Caenorhabditis elegans: one gene and its partner. The protein of the gene in region 2 interacts with the protein of the main gene of each other region in a biochemical or structural test. Each region holds a gene or a part of one and is shown on either strand. Other genes may lie near its edges.

The links.
Region 1: of the proteins of rga-4 (region 2) and rho-1, one has a biochemical effect on the other in vitro, tested with the Caenorhabditis elegans proteins (one study listed by BioGRID).

What each region holds. Positions count from the first base shown.
Region 1 is NC_003282.8:16,482,789-16,491,301, forward strand, and holds the start of rho-1 (Ras-like GTP-binding protein rhoA), read right to left. Parts: upstream 6,234-8,513; 5' UTR 6,179-6,233; coding exon 6,158-6,178; intron 5,641-6,157; coding exon 5,506-5,640; intron 3,360-5,505; coding exon 3,009-3,359; intron 1,276-3,008; coding exon 1,204-1,275; 3' UTR 1-1,203. UniProt on the Caenorhabditis elegans protein: Required for ventral migration of epidermal cells during ventral enclosure in the embryo and for cell elongation. Also required for ventral migration of P cells during larval development.
Region 2 is NC_003283.11:1,379,685-1,385,392, forward strand, and holds the start of rga-4 (Rho-GAP domain-containing protein), read right to left. Parts: upstream 3,573-5,708; 5' UTR 3,556-3,572; coding exon 3,433-3,555; intron 2,918-3,432; coding exon 2,441-2,917; intron 2,014-2,440; coding exon 1,816-2,013; intron 747-1,815; coding exon 11-746; intron 1-10.

The DNA of each region.
Region 1 (8,513 bases), on a different chromosome or scaffold from region 2:
AATTATTCATTTCTCCTTACATAAAGAAAACGGGGTCACAAAACAAAATAAAATAGGTGTGTTTGCGGTGGTGGTTTGGGGGGAAGAATTGGATGGAAAGTTTGCTGTCATTCAATAAAAAAAACCATTAAAGATGTATGGGGGGGAGCTTCTGCTGCTGCTGGAGAGAGGGAGAGACGAAGAGAAATAGAGAAAGAGAGAGGAAAATGTTACAAATATCGCACGCATTTCTTAAATTAATCGAGAAAAATCGATAATTTTTTTCTGGAGCAAGCTCTGGAGCCAAGAGTCCTTAAAATCGAAAAATTTTCGATTTTTTCCGATTTTTCATTAAAAATCGAAAATTTTTCGATTTTTTTCCGATTTTTCAGTAAAAATATCTCAAAATGTGGTGAAAATCGATTTTTTTTTTTCAATTTTTTCATTTAAAAAAACGGGAAATTTCCGATTTTTTAGGAGAAAACGGAATTTTTTTGTTTTTTCAGATTTTCTCGAAAAATAGCTAAAAATCGATTTTTTCGTAAAAAAAAAGGGAAATTTCCGATTTTTCAGGAGAAAACGGAAAATTTCCGATTTTTTCCGGATTTTCTCAAAAAATAGCTCAATTTTGGCCAATTGTCCAATTTTTTTGAAAAAATTTTCTACAAAATCGTCGAAAAACGGCATCCTTGGCTAAAGCTCGCTAGGAAAAAAAATTCGACGAAAAAAAAATAGAAACCTGTTACATTGAAGCTAAGATAGGAAAGTAGCGATGGGGCGATGGAGGTTTTTTCAATAAAAATGAAAAATTAGTGATTTTGGCAGAGAAAAAATTATTTTTTAAAGAAAAAAGTGTGTAAGCGCGTCGGAGGGGTAACGGAGGAATAACACAGTTTGACATTGTGAAAATCAAAAAAAAAAACGGAAATTTTTTTTTTAATTCGGGGAATTCGGGGATTAAGCTATAAAATGTGTGTGTGTGTGTGGGCGGGAGAGGAGATGTGTGATTTGGAATTTCAGAGAGAAAGAGAGAGAGAGCGGTGGCCTAACTTTTTCAAGTTTCAAGGCCACGGCCACCACCTCAAAAAATTGGAATAGAGAAGCGCGAATTTCAAATTTTGTATGGGGGAAATGGGGGGAAAATGATGAAAAATCAATTTTTGAAGAGGGAGAGAAAAAACGAGAGAATTAGAGAGAAGAAGAGCAGACATTTTATCGATTGATTTACAAAATCATGCACTTGCTCTTCTTTTTCTTCTTCTGTTGCAATGCCGCCTGTGTCGCCTTCTCGAATACCTGAAATTGGAAAAAATTAGTGAAAAAAAAATCGATTTTTTTTCGGATTTTAGCTGAAAATTGAGACTTTTAGAGCAATTTTTCACTTTTTTCTGGAAAAAAATCAGGAAAAAATTGTAAATTGTAAATTTTTTTTAAAAATTTATTTGAAAAAATTGAACATTTGGGGGAAAACTGGTGAATTTCAGCTAAATTATTTTTTTTTCAATGAAAATCAGAAAAATGGCTCAAAATTGAGCTAAAAACCTCAAATTTGAACTGAAATTTATTAAAATTAAAAAAAAAAAGACTTTTTTCCAAATTTTTTTCTGAAAAATTGGAAATTCGGGGAAATTTCAATGGAAAAGTGAGAATTTTAGCTGAATTTTTTTTTTAAAAGAAAATCAGAAAAATAACTTTTTTTCGATTTTCTTGGAAAAAATTGGAAATTTGGGGGAAAATTAGATGAACTTTTGTTGAAAATTGAGACTTTTAGCTCAATTTTGAGCCATTTTTTAAATTTTATTGGAAAAAATTGTGGGAAATTCGAAAATTTCTGTTCAAAATAGAACGATTTTTTTTTCCGCAAAAATTGAATTTTTATCTGTAATTTTTCCAATTTTTCGAATATTTTTTTAAAGTGATTTTCTCCAAAAAAATTGAATTTTTTGTAATTTAAACTTTTGGAAAATCGAAATTTTTGGACATATTTTAAGTTTTCATTTAAAAAAATCAATGTTTTTGGGTCTCGAAGCGAAAATCGGATTTTTGACTGAATTTAGGCCAAATTTCCAAAAAATTTAGAAAATTCAGCTGAAACTGTCGGAAAATTGTCGAAAAATATCGAAAATATCTTCCAGGTGAAGTTTTACAAGAAAAAGATTGAAATATCAGTTTTTTTTTAAATTTATACGGCCTTTTAGAGCCCAAAATTGTCGAAAAATATCGATTTTCGCCAAAATCTGGAATTTTTCATAAAAATTCAAAATTTTTTGGGTTTTCTCGGCTGAAATTTCCGGAAATTCCAATCATTTTTCCATAATTTTCCATGAAAAATTGAAATTTCAGATTTTTCAGTTTTTAGAGCACAAAATCGTCGATTTTCAGCTCGGATCTTTAAAAAATCATAAGAAATTCATTTTTTCACATAAATTGAAAAATTTTTTTTCAAAAAATCTGGAAAATTTCCACAAATTTGCAACTTTTCGGAAAATTTTTCACGAAAACTTTGGATTTTTGCAGCTTTTTATATCCCAAAATCGTCGAATTTGGAATTTTGAGCTCGGATCTTCAGAAAATCACTGAAAATCCATTTTTTTTTTCATAAAAATTGCAATTTTCTGGGTTTTCGAGGCTGAAATTTCCGAAAATTCCACCCAATTTTCCCATAAAATATTGAAATTCGGATTTTTTGCAGTTTTTACAGCTTTTTAGAGGCCAAAATCGTCAAAAATATAAATTTTCGCAAAAATCACGAATTTTGAGCTCGAATCATTAGAATGTCATAAAAATTGCAATTTTCTGGGTTTTCTTGGCTGAAATTTCTGGAAATTTCGCACAATTTCCAATTTTTCTTCGCAAGTCATCATTTTTTGCAGAAAAATTGGAATTCTGAGCTCGAATTTTCTGAAAACCCTTTTTTTCATAAAAATTCAAAATTTTTTGGGTTTTCTCGGCTGAAATTTCCAAAAATTTCGCTCAATTTCCAAAATAATTTCCATCTCTCAATTCGGTGCTACTGCTGCTTGTTGTACCTCACGAATTCCGTCCTTAGTCTTCGCAGAGCACTCCAAATATGCAAATGCTCCAATTTGCTCAGCAATTGCTCGTCCCTGCTCAGGCTTCACGGGCTCCTGTTTCATTTTTGCCAATTCTCGAACAGTCTGTGGATCACTACGAAGATCTCGTTTATTTCCGACCAAAATAATCGGAACATTTGGACAGAAATGCCTGACTTCTGGTGTCCATTTTTCTGGAATATTCTCCAGTGAATCGGGTGAATCAATTGAGAAGCACATCAGAATGACGTCAGTATCCGGATAAGAGAGTGGACGCAGACGATCATAGTCCTCTTGTCCAGCTGTATCCCATAGAGCAAGTTCGACCTGCAGAAAATTTCGGATTTTTAAGTGAAAAAATTTGAATTTTTAGGGAAAACCCGAGATTTTTAGGTAAAAATTGTATTTTTAGAGGAAAATATGCATTTTTTAGGTTAAAAATTTCAATTTTTAGAGGAAGAAATCTGGATTTTCAGCAAAAATCGCTATTTTTGGAAAAATTTGAATTTATAAGGTTTAAAATTTGGATATTTGGATGAAAAATTGAATTTTCGGGCGAAAAACTCGGATTTTCAGCAAAAATTGCTATTTTTTTTAGAAAAATTTGAATTTTCAGCTAGAGAACCTGGATTTTTAGGTAAATATGGTGGTATTTTTAAAGGAAAAATATGAATTTTTTAGGCTAAAATTTTGGATTGGATTTTAGGTTAAAAACTTGGAATTTTCAGGTAAAAATTGATATTTTTAGGGAAAATTTGGAATTTTTAGGTTAAAAACTTGGATTTTCGGGTAAAAAACTTAAATTTTCAGCAAAAATTGCTATTTTTTTTAGAAAAATTTGAATTTTCAGCTAGAAAACTTGGAATTTTAGGTGAAAAATTTGAATTTTCAGGTAAAAATTGATATTTTTAGGGAAAATTTTTGATTTTCAGCAAAAATCGCTATTTTTGGAAAAATTTGAATTTTTAAGGTTAAAAACACAACGGATTTTAGAGAAGAAAACTCGGATTTTTTTCTAGAAATTTGAATTTTTAGATAAGTAAAATCTTTATGAGGAAAATTTGGAATTTTAGGTAAGAAATTGTAATTTTCAGCTAAAAAAATGGTTTTTTTGGGGAAAACTTTGATTTTTAATGAAAAATTGAATTGTCAGCTAGAGATCCTGGATTTTTCGGTAAAAATTGTATTTTTAGAGGAAAAATATGTGCATTTTTTAGGTTAAAAATTTGGAGTTTTGAGGTAAAAACTCGGATTTTCAGCAAAAAAATTGCACTTTTCGGAAAATTTTGAATTTTTTTTAGGTAAAAACCATTGGATTTTTTAGAGTAAAAATCTGGATTTTCGGGTGAAAATTTTGGATTTTAAAATATGAAAAATGGCAATTTCTAGCTAAAAACCTTGGATTTATAAGTAAAAATTGGTTTTTTTTTTGGAAAAATTTATATATTTTGTGGCTAAAAACTCGGATTTTCAGCCGAAAAACTTAGATTTCCTGGTAAAATTTGAAAAGGGAAAAACCTGGATTTGCAGCTAGCAAACTTGGATTTTCAGCAAAAATTTGAATTTTTTAGGTTAAAAAATTGGATTTTTAGAGGAAAAACTTAGATTTTCGGGTAAAAAATTCGAATTTTCTTGTGAAAAACCCTGGATTTTCAGATGAGAAAATTCGAATTTTCTGGTGTAAAACCAGGAGTTTTAGGTTTAAAATTTGGATTGTTGGATAAAAAATTCGAATTTTCGGGGGGCGAAAACTCGGATTTTCAGCAAAAAATTGGCATTTTTTGGAAAATTTTGAATTTCTAGCTAAAAACCTGGATTTTTAGGTAAAAAAATGGCAGAAAATACTGTTTTTCTCGAAAAATAACACACAAGTTTTTCTGAAAAATCTCTCAAAATTCCTCAAAATTTTGCTTAAAATCGTAAATTTGTGTGTGCATTTCAGTCAATTTATAGGCGAAAAACAGTCATTTTTGCCAATTTTTCTTAAATTTTTGGTAAAAAAAACGGGGAATTTTCACGAAAACTTTGAGAAATAGGGAATTTTCAGCAAAAAAATAGCTGAAAAACACGATTTTCAGCTTAAAAAAATATAAGGCAATTTTCGACTCAAAAATACGATTTTTTTTCCTCAAAAATCGCAATTTTTCACTATTTTCAGCTCAAAATCACAGATTTGCTCCTTCTAGTCAAAATTTATCGGAAAAACATGACTTTTAGCTCAAAAAACGCGATTTTTCACTGTTTCGAGCCAATTTTTTCAATGATAAGCTCAAACCCGGCTGAAAAGCACAAATTTGCTCCTTTTAGTCAAAATTTGTCGAAAAAACAACGTGTTTAGCTCAAAAATCGCAATTTTTCACGATTTTCAGCTCAAAAATCACAAATTCCTTCATTTTGGTCAATTTCCGAACGAAAAACTCGATTTTCGGCTCAAAAATCGCATTTTTTCACAATTTCTTCATCCAATCCGCACCTGCTTTCCGTCAACTTCAATGTCGGCAACATAATTCTCGAAAACAGTCGGCACATACACGTCTGGGAACTGATCCTTTGAGAAAACGATGAGCAGGCAAGTTTTACCGCAGGCTCCGTCGCCGACGATCACCAACTGCAAAACAAAAAAATAGTCAATTTTAAAGTGGAATTTCCGAGAAAATTTCGATTTTTTCGGGAAAAAAACGACAAAAATCGATAAATTCGCCTCAAAATCAAGGGAAATGACAAAAAATTCAGTTTTTTTTCGTGAAAATCGATATTTTCGTGTGATTTTGGGCTCTGGAGCCATTTTCATTGAAATTTAGTGAAAAAATATGTATTTTATCTGAAAAAAACTGAAAAAGAGCTCAAAAATTGTCAAAAACTATTATTTCGACAATTTTTGAGCCATTTTTCAGTTATTTTAGATAAAACACATATTTTTTTCACTAAATTTCAATGAAAATGGCTTCAGAGCCCCAAAATCGCCGAGAAACATCGATTTTCGCGAAAAATTGCTGAAAAAACTGAAATTTCTGTAATTTCAAGGAGAATTTATCGACTTTCGTCGTTTTTTCTCCAATTTTCTCTCCAATTGAGCACAATTTAATGAGCCGCGGAGCATCAGAATGAGAGGAGCTGCTGCTCACCTTCTTTCTAATCGCAGCCATCTATCTCTATGTGTGTGTGTGAGTGAGGAACGCGAGAGGGAACACCCGTAGAGCCCTGCAAAAAAAAGGGAAAATTAGAAAAAATTAGATTGGAAAATTGAGATTAACAAATATTTAAAAGAGAAAAAACAGGAGAAAATGCGAGAAAAATGGGCTTTTATCGGGAAAAATCGCTTGAAAATGAGCAATTTCATGAGTATTCGACACATGCCTCCTTAAAGGCGCAGGGACTAATTCAGATGGGTCTCGCCGCGAGAACACAGTTTTTTTTAATTTTTGTGGCTTTTTCAATGAAATTACTTGATTTTTAGCGAATTTTGTCGTTTTTCTCCCATTTTTTTGGTGAAAATTGTCTTAATCACCAAAAAAAATGAGAGGAAAACGACAAAATTCGCTAAAAATCAAGTAATTTCATTGAAAAAGCCACAAAAATTTAAAAAAACTGTGTTCTCGCGGCGAGACCCATCTGAATAAGTCCCTGCGCCTTTAAGGAGGTATTTCAAAATTTTCCGTGAAATTCATTCGGCCAAATTTGTGAATTTGGTCGCTTTTTCAACGGAAAAATCGCTTGAAAAGGGTGGAAATTTAAGTTTTCGCCACGAAAATCTATGGAAAAATGGAATTTTCGACGTTTTTAAATGGAATTTCGCAGAAAAATTTCAAATTTCCAAATAAATTTGTGAATTTGGTCGTATTTTGACCGAAAATTCCAAATTTTCAACGTTAAAAAATGGAATTTTTCCAGAATATCCATGAAAATCCGGCGAATTTCCAAATTTCTGAACAAATTTGTGCATTTGGTGGAATTCAACCGAATTCGAGCAACGGAAAATAGCTTGAAAATGGCCGAAAAACTTCAAAAACGTGGAAAATCACGAAAATCGCAATTTTCAACGGTGAAAATGGAATTTTTCAGAAAATTTCCAGATTTTCGCTTGGAAAACCACAAAAATTGCTTTTTTGGAGCAATTTTTTCGGCAAAAAAAAAACGTATAGACGTCAAAAATTATGGCCACTGGGTAGATCACTGGTAGTGAGTCACTACTGTATGTGTTGGTTGGAGACACCCCACTCACACCACTCACACACACACAACGACACTGACATAGAGAATGGTACAGTGATGATGATGATGATGGGAGAGAGAGAGAGTGGGGAGAGACACAGAGAACACAGAGAACACAGAGAGCGGAGACATCGATTTGCAAATTGAATGCCAATGATGATTCATCTTGTGTGAAAGAGAGAGAGAGAGTGGCGAGGGAGGTGAGAGGAAGAAAATTCAAACCGATAGTGGGGAATGTCTGAAAAAACTGGGGTGTGGCGGGGGAGGTTGGCGGGATGATAAGAAGTAGATCACAATTAGTCAGCGGAAATGTGGTCAGAGTGTGTCCCGTTTCGGCTTGATCTACGTTGATCTACAAAAAATGCGGGAGTTGATTGAGACGCGCAGACTTTTCAACTGATTTCGCGCATGGTTAAGAACGTGCTGACGTCACGTATTTTTGGGCCAAAAAAATTCCCGCATTTTTTGTAGATCAACCCGTGATGGGACAGCAGCCTGGCACTACGTGAGTCAGCGGAAGTGCCGGATTTTTTTTCTTCGAAAATCGACCATATTACGGGAACTAGGACTTCCATGGTAGGCAGGCGCGGTTCCACTGCCTGCCTGAAACCTGCCTGAGAATTTACAGATTTAAAATTTTCCCATTTTTATGAATTTGGTGAAAAACAATTTTAGAGATGAAAAAATTGAATATGAGGCACGGATGGAGGTCGTAAGGTCAGGCAGGCAGGCAGAGGTCGCCTTATGGTCAGGCAGGCATGCGTTTTAACGCCTACATAGAGGTCCCAACGGGAACACAAAAATTATGGCCAGGCGTATAGCGAGCCCGTAAATCGACACACAAGCGCTACAGTAGTTATTTAAAAAATTACTATAGTTTTCGCTACGAGATATTTTGCGCTTCAAATATGTTGTGCAGTACGCAATACGATAACTACAGATGAGTGAAAAGCCTAAATTCTAATCTTCTCAGAGGAAATTCACTTGAAAATCTCTAAAATTCGAGTTTTTTCAGCAAAAGCACTGTGGAAAGTGGATTTAAAAAAAAAAGAAAATTGGCTTTAGACCAATTCAAGCCTTTTAAGACCAAGCTAAAGCCTATTTAGACCAATTTCAAGCCTTTTCAGACCAATTTCAAGCCTTTTCAGACCAATTTCAAGCCTTTAGACCAACTTCAAGTCTTTTCAGGCCAATTTCAAGCCTTTTCAGACCAATTTCAAGCCAATCAACTGAGAAAATGCGGGAAGCCGAGTGGAACGAGAATGACGT
Region 2 (5,708 bases):
AATTTCTCACCTGCAACACTCATCTGCTCATTGGACACCCGTTGTTTCGCAAATCGCATCGCATCGGTATTCTGATCGTTAGCCGACAGCCGTCGAAGAGCTCCACCACTGCTGGGGACAACTTGCTGCTGCTCGTGCTCAAACATTTTCGAAATCGTATTCTTTCCGCTACCACCACTTCTCGGTGCGGCGTTCGTGTTGCCTCGCCGATTCTGATGGCTTCTCGATTGTCTGCCAGACGCCGTTGATCCAGTCGACATGGTATTCGACTCGTTTCGCGCCACCTTTTTCCGATGATCCGTGTACAAATCCAGTGTGTCTGCTGTCAATGGCGGCTCGATGGCAGCAGCAGTGTGTCCAGTCATGAGTCGCTCCGGACTTGGGCTCTTGGCTCGCTTCATGTTCGACAAGCGATGTTTAAGGTCGCGGAAGCTCGGCAGAAACGATGCGGACCGCTTTTTTTTCGACTCCAGCAACTCGCCCTTCTTCCGCGAAGTCACTATTTTGTGAACAGCTTCCGAGTCTCGGCGGTGAATGGCGAGTGACGTCGACGGGCCGCCGGCTCCAGCTTCTCCTCTCTGGTGGAGCGCCGCTGCTGCTGTTTGAGCGATATTCGACGATAGACAATCCGCATCAGACGACGACGTCTCGTATCCACTGCTCATGCAACGTGGCATCGCGCTCGAGCTTCGGAGCATCGCGTTACTTGTCACGTACGGATCACGACGGACACCAATTAGATTGGCCTGAAATTGATAAGAAATTGGATTTTAAATTGTGATTTCGAATATTTTAAATGAGGACTAACGATTTTTGGACGATTTTGAACGAATTTCATCACGAAATTGATCAAAAATTCGGAAAAAAATACACTTATTCTTGCTAAAATCTCAATTTTTTGCCACTTTTCAGTGTAGCATCTGTCAGAAGTTGACTTTTTCGGAATTTTCATATTTTATTGCATATTTTAGTGGTTTATTCACTTAATTTCCTTTAAGGTACATTTAAAGGGGGAATAGAGTTTGTGGGTATTTTGATTAAATAGACTAAAACTGTTCCAAAACCACCGAATTTAATAATGTGACTTCTCAAAAAATTTCCAAAAATTTTTTATGGCCGGTAAAAATGTCGAAAAAAAGAGCCAAATTTTGCTAAAATCTGAAATTTTGCACTTTTCTTTGTCACAGCTGCTGGATTTTTGTTTTTCTGAAATTATCACTTTTTAATCCTTATTTTGGTAATTTCTCGTGAAAATTCGTTGATTTTTGGATGCCTATCGGCCTAAAATTTGTCTCAATCGACGAATTTCCGCGAGATAAATTACCAAAAGAACGATTAAAGGGTGATAATTTCAAAAAAAAAAACAAAAATCCAGCAACTGTGACAAAGAAAAGTGTGCGAAATTTCAAATTTTAGCAAAATTTGGCTCTTTTTTTTCGAAATTTTGACCGGCCATAAAAAAATTTTGAAATTTTTTTGTGAAGTCTAATTACGAAATTCGGTGGTTTTGGACCAGTTTTAGTCTATTAAGGCAAAACTCCCACAAACTCTACTCCCCCTTTAAATGTACCCTAATAAACGAAATTAAATGAGAGAAACCACTAGAATATGCAATAAAAGGTGATAATTCCAAAAAAAAAAAAAAGTCAACATCGGAGAGATGCGTGGGCAAATTTCGAGATTTTAGCTAAATTAAGTGTCATTTTTCCGAATTTTTGATCAATTTCGCCGCGATTTTTTCGTTCTTTTCAGCAAATTTTGAGCATACACGTTCAAAATCGTTAGTCCACCTAATAAATATGTGTTGAAAATTACATTAGTAATCAATAATTTAACCGCCGCCGTGTTCACACTCATATCCTGCCGCTTCTGCGCCAAAATATCCTCCTTCGAGCCACGACGGATCTGTGAAGTTTTGCGCGGATCGTGAATACCGTCACCGAAGACACTTCCGACGAGAACGATTGCCAAATTTTCAATCGACATCTTGTGCTGGTCACTGTGAGCGGCGATCTGGAAAAAGGAACCGAGTTTAAATGAAAAATTGCATTTTTCGCGCTCCATTGACAATCGCCCGCTCGGAAAGTCGTGTACTCCACACGGAGACAAATGAATCTAGTTTTACAACTAAAATCGAGCCGCGACGCGACACGCAACGCGCCGTAAAACTACCCCAAATATTGCCGAGCCAGTCGGCAAACTCTTCCATTTCAATTTATGAGAGAAGCCAGAAATGGAAGAGTTTGCCGAACTAGGCCATTTTGGCTCAGCCATATCTGGGGTAGATTCACGGCGCGTTGCGTGTCGCGTCGCGGCTCGTTTTTAGTTGTAAAACTGATGTATTTGTCCGCGTTGTCCGGCTTGTCAATGGAGCGCGAAAACGTCATGAGGAATGCCAGAATTCCGTGTCAAAAAATCAAAAAATCCACGAGTCACATACTCTGTACAGCTGTCTCATCACATATCCCAGCGTTGAAGCATGCACATCGGAGAGCAGCGGTGTCTGTTGCTCGATTGTGCGATCCTCCAAGTAGAAAATGTCTGCCATCTCGTCTCGCGTCATCAGGAAACTATCCGAAATTCTCGCTTGGCACGCTTTCTTCAGAAGTCGAGCTCGACACTCTTCTGAATCGAGCAGCGGTGGCTTCAGATCGCGAAGAAACCGCTTCACCATCGTGCAAACGTCGATAACACTGTAGTCGTTAGGAATGTCGCTCTGCCCTTTGTAGATTGCCTGTACTTCGGCGCGATTCAGCCGAACAGAGTTTCCTTCCTTGCGGAAAATCCCGTCAGTGTCCATTCCGTGCTTCGAAATGATGTTGAACGCGTGCACAATGAACTTGGGAACCTCCTTCAGACGTATTCTCGTCCAGCCGGTGCCGACGTTCACGTCCAGCGTGACATTTGTTGAGCATACCTGAAAAAATGCAATAAGTTATAGATTTTTTTGGAATGCAGGAGCTCCTAGTCCTTGCTGCGCTTCGCCTTTTTTGCCTTTCCACTGAAAATAGCTGATTTATCGAATTTTTAGCTTTAAAAAAACAATTTTCTCTGCATTTACCCACAAACCTTTTGAAACTTTTTTTGAAACTTTTTTTGTCCACTGGTGGTGAAATGGTTTGAATTTGAAGAAATCAACGGGATTTTTCACATTTTCTAAATATTTTTCTATTAAAATCGATTTTTTAAAAAAAAATCCCGTTGATTTCTTCAATTTCAAATCATTTCTCAACCAGTGGGCGAAAAGAATTTCATTTTAGTGATTTTAAATTCGATTTTAAAATATTTTCACTGTTTAACAAAAGGTTTCTTCGTAAAATGCAGAGAAAAAAATTTTCAAAGCTAAAAAATCGATAAACCTGCCATTTTCAGTGGAAAAGCCAAATACGGCTCTTTTCGGCTTAAAGGAGCGCGTGCTGCAGCAGCACAAACCTCTCCAAGAGTGTAGCTTAATTTATTGGATTTTGGTCCAGCGGCGGCGGCGCCGGCCGTCGTCGTCGAGCCTTTCCGATACACCGATGACGACGTAACGACACGAAAGTCGTTGTGTTCCATATAGTCTCGGTCAGCCTGGAGAAATAATAATTTTAGAATTGAAATATAATTACAACAACAAAAAAGTAGAGCGATACACACGTTTATTATTTTTGCAGAAATTTCGAAATGATTTAATTTCTTTGAAAATTGATATCGAAATGCAGAAAACTCAGGTTGTTCTATCTGAAAATAGCATTTATTTTTGTTAAAAAGCTTGAAAAAGTCCCGAAAAACTTTCAGAGGGCTTTTTCAGGCTTTTCAACTCGTTTTCTACATTTCTATATCATTTTAAGATCAAAAAACCTGATATAAATCAATTTAAGAGCACGGTTGAGTCGAAAAGCTCATCATTTTTCAAGAAAATACGCCAAATAGCATTAAAAATCACGGAGACGGCTTCAAAATTCGAATAGTGAGAACAGCGCGCCGAGTGAAGCGGGGGGAGAGGTCCGCAAACACCGGCACGCGAAAATGCAGAAATCCGTTTTTTTTCTCCAATTATTAATTAATTAATGCGATTTCTCATGTTCAGAGGAATAATTACTTGAAAATTGAACGTTTGTCGAAATAAATGCATAAAAGCCAAGCATGTTTAGCTAATTTCTGTGAATTTTTGTGGTTTTGAATAGAAAATAGAAAAGATTTCGGCGGGGAGATCTGTTCCGGAAGAGAGATTCTAGATTTCTCCCTTTTCTTCTGTTTCCGACACTCATAACCATCTGAACATCTGGGTGATCATCTGGGTGAAACGACATCTGCTTGGTCTCCCAGGAGGCAAAATATTTAGAAAATGGAATTATTTTAGCCGAAAACTCACCATATGTATAGTGTCGAGAACGCATGCACTTAAAGAAAGATGAGTCGTTGTTGAAATCTGAAATTTAGAATTTTAGTTGCAAAATCGATAAAATCATGGGAACTATTAAACAGTCGGAAGCGGTTAACAAGACGAGATAAGAGCGTGCTGCTGATAATCGCAAATAATATATATATTTATTAAGAATGAATATGTTTTGTGTTGTCGAGAACAATTTTTCAATTAAAAAAAAGAGAAAACCGTCATGTTTTATTGGAAAAGACGACACGTGCGATTCCAATCAGGTGCATTAAATTGATTAAAAAAATTACACAACTTATTACTTATGGAACACAAAACGCTGAGAATGCATATTTTGCAACATATTTGACGCGCAAAATATCTCGTAGCGAAAATTACAGTAACTCTTTAAATGACTACTGTAGCGCTTGTGTCGATTTACGGGCTTGATTTTCGAAATTACGAATAAATTAATATTTTTTACTTCAAAAATCAAGCCCGTCAATCGGCTACAGTAGTCTTTTAAAGAATTACTGTAGTTTTCGCTACGAGATATTTTGCGCGACAATATGCTGTGCAATACGCATTCTCGGAATTTTGTGTCCCCGTAATATGCAAAATTCAGGAGTTTGAAAAATAAATAAATGAATTTTTATCGAAAAATTATGGAAAATCGATGAAAATTCGAATTTTTATCGATTTTTTGAAGATTTCATTACGGTTTGTAAACACTGTAGGTTTTTTTAAAAAATAAACAAATTCATTTTCAACGAAAAACTATGAAAAATCGATGGAAAGTCCGCAGTAACAAAAGTTTGAAGTTACAGTACTCTTCAAAGGCGCACATATTTTTCCAATTATCAAATAAATTCGACGCGAAAAATATCTCGTAGCGAAAACTACAGTAATCCTTTAAATGACTACTACTGTAGCGCTTGTGTCGATATACAGACTCGTTTTTTGAAATTTCAAAAATCGAGCCCGTAAATCGACACAAGCGCTACAGTAGTCATTTAAAGAATTACTGTAGTTTTCGTAACGAGATATTTTGCGCGTCAAATATGTTGTGCAATACGTATTCTCAGCATTTTGTGTTCCGGTAATATGACAATATGTGCTCTAAAATGCTAGTTTTCATCGAGGCGGAAAATTGAGAATTCGTGATTCCACTGATTTCGCTCTCACCTCGTTACCCTCATTTTTCGGGTCATTAGGCTATCGTACACAAACACACACGTGGTGTCAGGCTGTCTCATTGCGGCTTGATCTACAAAAAATGCGGGAAAACACTCTTAACCATGGAAAATCAAGTGAAAAGTCTGCGTCGTCTTCTCCCACATTTCTCGAAGATCAA